Saccharomyces cerevisiae S288C: one gene and its partner. The protein of the gene in region 1 binds, or shares a complex with, the protein of each later gene. Each region holds a gene or a part of one and is shown on either strand. Other genes may lie near its edges.

Region 1 (4,314 bases):
CTGGCGTACCCGTGCAGCCGTTTCCGTGCCTCGGTTCCTCCGAGATATCCTTAGGGACCGCCAGGGACCATGATTGCGTCAACTGTTGTCACCGCTCCAGAGGATCCTCTGTAACCTTTTCAACCATAAAAATAGAAAGGGCACAGGGTTGGGGTATTTGAATTTTTTTTTTGGGTTTTTTCGTATTACTTATTACTTACCTTCTTTTCTATATAATTTTGTTTTTCCCTGGTAGAGCGGAATCTTCCCACTAAATTTTTAGCAGAGAATCCTCGGGTTTGTAAACCATGTTATAGTTAAACCCCGATATTACACCATTAAAATCATTTCTAAATATGCGGTCGTCGATGATCAGCTGCAGGGAAATGCCAAAATATGGACCCCATAGAGGTCTTGGCTTGTTCATATCGTTGGGTCGATTTCTGTTCCCAGTGTTATTTGGTTGAATGGGAACAGTCGCGTCTTGCCCCATCTTGTCTCTGCCGCTTTCGTCGAATCTGACTTTGCAATTGACGTTGCATATCAACGTGCCGGATCCCGGAATAGCGTGATAGTCTACTCCTGTTAGGGCATGTTGTGTTTGTACGACCTGGTTTTGCCACATTTGCAGAAAAACTGTTGCTTGCGCGAAGGGGGTAGCATTAAATATTATTCTGCAGTTGTTTGGATTAAAAAGCTGTACGAATTGGGCCAATTTGTTGGAGTCCGGATCATCCAAATGCGCTAATATCTTCTTCGTAAATGTGGCCGTTATTTGTGCTTGATTTGCGTCATTCATTACCATAGTATTACTATTGGTGTTCATATTTCTGTTATTACTGTTATTAGTTTGGCGTTTTGCCTGACGATCAGCCTGGTGGGGCCAAGTATATACTATAAAAACAGGTTAGTTACTTGCTCTATGCGTTTGCGCATCCTCTTTTTACTTTTTTTTTTTCAGTAAAGCCTAAGCATAAATCGTTTTATACGTACGACACGTTCAACTTTTCTTGGTTAGTAGTGGCAATCTCTGCAATACATACAGGGAGTCATGGTCTATCATCTTGTCCAATCAAAGAAGCATCGGTTCAGATCGAGCAAACTGTAGGGAGAAAGGAAAGTAGAAATGCAGAGTGTGCTATATGTCCAATCTCGGTTTTGTAGTTTGGATGTCATTAGAGATCTACCACCCAACCGGCTGCTTTCATGTGGAACAGAAAAGAAATCGGGGCGCTTCCTCTTCTGTATTCCTTTAATTAACGTTTTTATTCAGCCATCTAACCATCATACCCCCATACGGTAACAAAACCTCTTCTAAGAAAAGAAGTCTCTGCTCCTCCGCCATCTTATTTTTATTCGCTGCGCGCGTTTATTGTCGCATCGCTAGCCAGCAAAAAGTTGGTTGCCTTTTTTTACCTAAAAAAGACACATCTAACTGATTAGTTTTCCGTTTTAGGATATTGACGCCAAGCGTGCGTCTGATTTCTACGATATGTCTCTAATTTTGGAAGGGCCATTTTATTTTTGAGGATTGGGCTGATCATTTTCCTTACGTGGATTGAGCCAGCAATACAGATCATTATTAAACTGTTTTGTACATGATGTTAGTATATAATCGTAAAGCTTTTCTAATATGTATACCTTATACATGGAACTCCACAGAACTTGCAAACATACCAAAAATCCTTTATTCTTGTTCACTCATTTTACATCAAAAAATAATATTTCAGTTATTAAGGAAAATAAAAAAATAGATTAGAGAAGCATTTTGAAGAAATAGTATATTCTTTTATTGAACCTAAGAGCGTGATATTTTTACTCGAAATAAAATACGAAAAATCTATACACTCATCTTTCCGACTACTATTGGCTCCTGCTCAAAAAAAGAGGGAAAAAAAGCTCCAAAATTCTATCTTTTCCTATCGCTCCTGTCCTATCCTTATTACGTTCATTACTATTTTAATACTATCCATTCTTTTATTTTCAGTCTAAAAAAAACATTTCTCATAACGGGAAAAGCAAAAAAATGTCAAGCTTATACATCAAAACACCACTGCATGCATTATCTGCTGGTCCGGATTCTCATGCAAATAGCTCCTATTATGACAATCTTTTATTGCCTTCATTTTCCAATTTATCCAGTAATATCAGCAGGAACAATATCACAACCGATAACAATATAAATTCAGCAAGTCCTAGGAAGTATTCGTTTCATTCGCTCAATGTGTCGCCAATTCTTTCCCCAATATCTTTGGCTAACGAAATACTTGGAAAAAAATCAAATACTGCACCAGCATCGCCACATCATATGGATTACAATCCAATTTCCTCATTAACACCAGGCAATTCACCAGAATTCAACAAGGCAAGCTTATCTCAGATTAGTTTTACAAATCCATTGAACTATGGGTCTGGCTTAGGTTTTTCCTCTAATTCACAACCTCGACTACCATTGTTAGACAGGCTATCGTCCGTCTCTTTATCTAAGAGACCGGAGCGCCCACAACAAAGCCTACCATCACTAAGGCATCTGCAATTATTACCCAGTCCTCTTTTACAAGAAAACGCAGCACGCTTCCCTGATACATCAAAACGTACATCTAATTGGAAAACTGATCTTACCCATTGGTGTAAGGATACAAACTATCAAGACTATGTTAAAATACGCGAAGAAGTGGCTCATTTCAAGCCATTAAGTATACCCAACTTAACTAATAATCAAAATAATGATAGTTTCAATTACGGCAAGGAATTGGAATCGACTAGGTCGTCCAAGTTCCATTCCCCGTCTAAGGAATCATTTGATCGTACCAAACTAATTCCTTCGATTCTAGAAGCTAAAGATCAATTTAAAGATCTTTCCAACAATGCATGGAGTATTACTCCTCCCGTCACACCGCCGATGAGTCCACCAACCAATAGAACCATGGAGCGCACGACGCTTAGAGGAGTAGAGGCCTCTTTTTTTGAGGGGAAATCCAGCAATAACGATTCAATATTCAATCCAATTATTAGTGAAAAATTGGTTCAAGAAGTTAAACATCAAAGACAATTACGTGGAAATTCATTTCCCATGCCAAATGCCAGTCACAAAAAGACGAACAGTTTCAAAGCTTTGCAAATAAAAAAATTGCTTGCGAATAGAGACATTCTATCGAACAATTCCAAATCTAATGTAAGGAAACCATCTAAGAACAAAATCTCAAAGCAAGCATCAAATGTTTTCGGTAACACTGCAAGACAATTGGTGATGAAACTCGACAACGCTAGTTACAGTTCTGTCTCTGCATCTTCATCTCCATCTCCCTCCACACCGACGAAAAGTGGCAAGATGAGATCAAGATCATCCTCACCTGTGCGTCCCAAGGCATACACTCCAAGCCCAAGGTCACCCAATTATCATAGATTTGCTCTCGACTCTCCCCCTCAAAGCCCTCGAAGATCATCAAATTCAAGCATAACGAAAAAGGGAAGTAGAAGGTCCAGTGGCTCATCACCCACTCGTCACACCACAAGAGTGTGCGTGTCGTGTCATTCGAGTGATTCGCCCTGTTGGAGGCCATCGTGGTCGCCAAGAAAGCAAGATCAGCTATGTAACTCTTGTGGTCTTCGATATAAAAAAACACATACAAGATGTTTGAACGATTTATGTCGTAAGATCCCCACAAAGGGTGAAATAAACATTATGAAATCCAATGGAATAGACAAAGAATTCGTCCCCGAACGCAACTGCGAAATTGAAGGGTACCGTTGCTTATTTTGTAATTACATAACTGAGACAGTAGAGAATTGATACATGGATAACTGAATCTCTTTCAACTAATAAGAGACATTATCACGAAACAATTGTACATTTCTCTCCTTGTCTGTGCTAAATAAACTACAAATAAAAATTCATTTTCTTTCATTTTCATTCGACACGCCGCGGCATCTTCGTTTTCTTCACCGATTAATTTTAATCTGCGCCGTGCAGATATTTTCGCCCATTTCGAAGTGAAATCATTCTAATAACTTCTCCTGCGCAATAGATTGGTCATCCTGATTTTTATTCTGAAATCGAAAATGAAAAGCATTTATTGCACTGAAATAGCGGAACCTGCTTCTAATAAGCTTAAAATTCAATCATAATAGTGTAGTTAATAGAAAGGACAGAAGAACTTTTCGTTCCTTGGTTTATCATCCAGGTTTCAGCACGGCTTTTGTTTCAAGTTTAAGTAGGTAAGATTTTTTGATTGTTCTACAACTTTTTCATAGTAATCAAAACCTTTGAATTTCAAACTTACTATGTCTAGTACTCAAGTAGGAAATGCTCTATCTAGTTCCACTACTACTTTA
Region 2 (4,388 bases), on another chromosome or scaffold:
CAAGGGCTTTGATTGATACTTTCATAAACACAGACGTGAAACTGTTACAAGATCCTGTGATGAAAGAAGACCATAGCGGATGTACGGCTACATCCATATTAGTATCAAAGTCCCAGAACTTGTTAGTATGTGGTAACGCTGGTGACAGTAGAACCGTACTCGCCACCGACGGGAACGCAAAGGCATTATCATACGATCACAAGCCCACTCTAGCAAGCGAAAAATCACGTATTGTGGCAGCTGATGGCTTCGTAGAAATGGATAGGGTCAACGGTAACTTGGCGCTCTCTCGTGCCATTGGTGATTTTGAGTTCAAATCCAACCCCAAATTGGGCCCCGAGGAGCAAATAGTGACATGTGTTCCGGACATTCTCGAGCATTCTCTAGATTACGATAGGGACGAGTTTGTAATCTTAGCCTGTGATGGTATCTGGGATTGTTTGACTTCCCAAGATTGTGTGGACTTGGTTCATCTCGGCCTTCGCGAAGGCAAGACATTGAATGAAATTTCTTCGCGGATCATCGATGTCTGTTGTGCTCCCACCACAGAGGGGACGGGTATTGGATGCGACAACATGAGTATAGTGGTTGTCGCGCTGCTGAAAGAAGGTGAAGACGTCGCTCAATGGAGCGACCGTATGAAGTCCAAGGCCCACCGCACATCAGTGCGTTCTTTTGCAGACAAGAGAAGAAGGGTGTTTAGTTACTACGATTTTTCCAAATGTAACGACGAACAGGTGTTCGCTATCACTACGAAGAAACCTCAGGACAAATTCACTCGCGACCACGAAGCCGCTGTGGCCTCGGTGACTGCCGCCGATAACGACGATCCAATGGACATAGACGACACGGACGCTGACACAGATGCAGAAAATCTTGACCCTTCCAGCCAATCCAAGAGCAAGACCTCCGGCCCCATTGATCTAGCATCCTTGGAGGCGCTACTTGGTGCTACAGGAGGAGTGAAGACAGACAGCAACGGGAACAAAGTCACCTACACTCTTCCCCAGTCTGCCTTGGCCCAACTGCTCCAAACCATGGGCCATGACCCGGCTTCCTCCCATCCCGAGAATGACAGTAACACTGACCACAAGGCCGGCCGTTCCCACTTGCAATGAAGGATCTTCCATCCTTCATTATATATACATACCTATATACGAACCGAACGAACAGAAAGAGAAGAGAAGACGCAAGACACCACCAGAACCAAGAGCATACACCACTACCACCACCATCGCTACCAACAGCAGGATATCCGGATGCAGTTTGACGCTTGAAGATGGTATTCACCTCAGGGGTAAACGCGCAGAAACTGCGCGTTTACCTGCAGCGACGCCACAAAAACGGACCGGCCCGGCCAGAGGGTGAGACCAGCAGCGGCCCCGTTGTGAAATCTCACCCCCAGTCCCGGATGGGCACGAGTCCCCAGCGCCCGTCCCATGAGGTCCTCCTAAGGTAGACAGCGCGGATGTTTCCGATGCAAAGGAGAAAGGATGGACGGTACAGACATCGTAGACAGGATTCGCGCATTGCCTTGCACATCTGTGCCCCATCCAATCTACCGTATCTATTGTTATCGTCGTGTGTGCTACTCTTTTCTCCGACAGCCTCGACAAGACGGAATCAGAAAGTGCACACAGTTTAAAAAGGAAAAAAACCGAGTACAACAAAAACAGGGACAGGTTTTGAAAAGTGTTCTTTTCTTTGCATCTTCTCTATTTCTTCTCTCTTTCGTCCTGTTTGGTATCTTGTTGTATTTTTTCTCTCTTTTGTAGTATATTTATCCGTGTTTCCTCCTTTTCACAGTCAGTTCATCCGACCTCATCGAATAGCTTCCGTGCACGTTCCAGTCTTCCCTCCCTTCTCTGCTCCGTGATGTCCATTTCAACCAGTTTGAACTCAGCTTCCATTCATTTGAGCAGCATGGACACCCATCCTCAGCTACACTCACTCACTCGTCAGCCACACTCGTCGTCAACAGCTATGTCCAAGAACGAAGCCCAGGAATCTTCGCCCTCTCTGCCAGCTTCCTCTTCATCGTCGACTTCGGCATCGGCATCTGCGTCTTCCAAGAATTCGAGCAAGAACCCTTCCTCTTGGGACCCTCAAGATGATCTGCTGCTACGTCATTTAAAGGAGGTCAAGAAAATGGGCTGGAAGGATATTTCGCAATACTTCCCAAACAGGACTCCTAACGCGTGTCAGTTCAGATGGAGAAGGTTGAAGTCTGGTAACTTGAAGTCGAACAAGACTGCTTTGATCGACATCAACACCTATACGGGCCCACTCAAGATCACCCACGGCGATGAGACTGCCAACGCTCAGCAAAAGCCCAGCAAGAAGGTAGAAGAAAACGTATTAACGGAAGATACTGCTGAGTTCACTACAACGTCATCCATCCCGATTCCCTCCAGAAAGACCTCGTTGCCTTCGTTTCACGCATCGATGTCATTTTCTCAATCTCCGTCCAATGTGACTCCCACTACGATTGTCTCAAACGCTGCTTCTTCCATGCCGTTCGCTCCTCCCACGCTGCCGGCCGCACTCCCTCATCATCCTCATCAACACCTACACCACCATCCCCATCATAAGACTCTAAAGCCAAGGTCAAACTCTCACTCCTTCACCAATTCTTTGAACCAAGACCCCATCGTTCGGTCTAATGATGAGGAGAAGTATGGATTCATTCCTAAAGTATTCGTTAGATCCAGAAGAAGTTCGTTTGCCTATCCACAACAGGTAGCAATAACCACTACTCCGTCTTCTCCAAACTCTTCGCATGTCTTACTAAGCTCAAAGTCAAGAAGGGGCTCGCTTGCGAATTGGTCCAGAAGATCATCGTTTAATGTTTCAAGTAACAACACTTCAAGACGGTCTTCAATGATTCTTGCACCAAATTCCGTGTCAAACATATTCAATGTCAACAATAGCGGCAGTAACACTGCTTCTACTTCTAATACCAACTCAAGAAGGGAATCTGTCATCAAGAAGGAATTTCAGCAAAGATTAAACAACTTAAGTAACAGTGGAGGTCCTACCTCCAACAACGGGCCCATTTTCCCCAACTCTTATACCTTTATGGATCTCCCACATTCTTCATCGGTGTCATCGTCATCCACTTTGCATAAGTCTAAACGAGGTTCGTTTTCTGGCCATTCTATGAAGTCATCGTGTAATCCGACTAATCTATGGTCAAAAGATGAAGACGCTTTGCTAATGGAAAACAAAAAGAGAAACCTATCCGTTATGGAACTATCCATTCTTTTGCCGCAGAGAACTGAGGTGGAAATTCAATGGAGATTAAACGCCTTGTCAAGTGATGCGGATATGTTGTCTCCTACACATTCACCTCAAAAAACTCTGTCCAAGAAAACTTGTCCAAGAATGTTCAAAAGTGGTTCTACCACTGATGATGACAAAGGTAGCGACAAAGAGGACGTTATGGGTGATGGTAGTAACGATGATGACGAAGATAATGTAGACCCGCTGCACCGTGCTAAACAATCCAGTAACAAGACTGTCTTTTCATCCAGCAGTTCCAACATATCCTCCAAAGACGTTTCACCGGATCCGATCTTTTCACCGGATCCCGCAGATGATTCATCGAATACTTCTGATGCTGGTTCTAGGTGCACCATAACCTCCGATACCAGCTCCTCGGCTGCAACCATGAATCGCACCCCTAATTCCAAAAACCCGCAAGATATTGCTTTGTTAAACAACTTTCGTTCTGAAGCCATTACTCCGAGACCGAAGCCTTCTTCCACAACTACATCCATCACTACCGAAACCACCAATAACATGATAAACCACTCTAGTTCTACAACTACTACCACAAACAACAGTCCGCTGCCAAGCATAAACACTATCTTCAAGGATATGCTGTGAGGGGAAAACTTAAAATGAAAAAAAAATAAAAATAAAAAAATATCAACAACAAAAAGAAAAATGTGAATTTAGCGGGCTTGTTCATTAAATTTCTATAGTTTAGCATATTTAAAAGTATAAAAGTTTCTTTGGTTTATATGACGTATTCATCCATTCTTCATTTCCGCTTCAACTATTTTTTTTCGTGGAACGCAAACAACGTTACCCTGAACTTTTCACATTGGAAAAGGAAAGCATCATAAAAAATCGTGTTTTTATTTTAATACACGGTAGCCTTTTGATGAAGGGAAAAGATTTCAACCACCACTTCAAAACACCACACTCTACCTCCTACCATACTCCATAATGTCAAGCCCAACTCCTCCAGGTGGTCAACGTACTTTGCAAAAGAGAAAACAGGGAAGTTCACAAAAAGTTGCGGCATCCGCTCCAAAGAAAAACACGAACAGCAATAATTCGATTTTGAAGATTTATTCTGATGAGGCTACGGGACTAAGAGT

What was found.
Region 2: ASH1 (region 1) and DOT6 share a complex: the UniProt entries of both Saccharomyces cerevisiae proteins name them as parts of the RPD3C(L) complex.

Annotation. Positions count from the first base shown.
Region 1 is NC_001143.9:92,494-96,807, forward strand, and holds ASH1 (DNA-binding transcription repressor ASH1), read left to right. Parts: upstream 1-2,005; coding exon 2,006-3,772; downstream 3,773-4,314. Other genes in the region: MTR2 (Mtr2p), read right to left, coding at 251-805; ornithine decarboxylase SPE1, read left to right, coding at 4,264-4,314. UniProt on the Saccharomyces cerevisiae protein: Component of the RPD3C(L) histone deacetylase complex (HDAC). Responsible for the deacetylation of lysine residues on the N-terminal part of the core histones (H2A, H2B, H3 and H4).
Region 2 is NC_001137.3:332,676-337,063, reverse strand, and holds DOT6 (Dot6p), read left to right. Parts: upstream 1-1,875; coding exon 1,876-3,888; downstream 3,889-4,388. Other genes in the region: type 2C protein phosphatase PTC2, read left to right, coding at 1-1,118; Arf family guanine nucleotide exchange factor SBH1, read left to right, coding at 4,234-4,388. UniProt on the Saccharomyces cerevisiae protein: Component of the RPD3 histone deacetylase complex RPD3C(L) responsible for the deacetylation of lysine residues on the N-terminal part of the core histones (H2A, H2B, H3 and H4).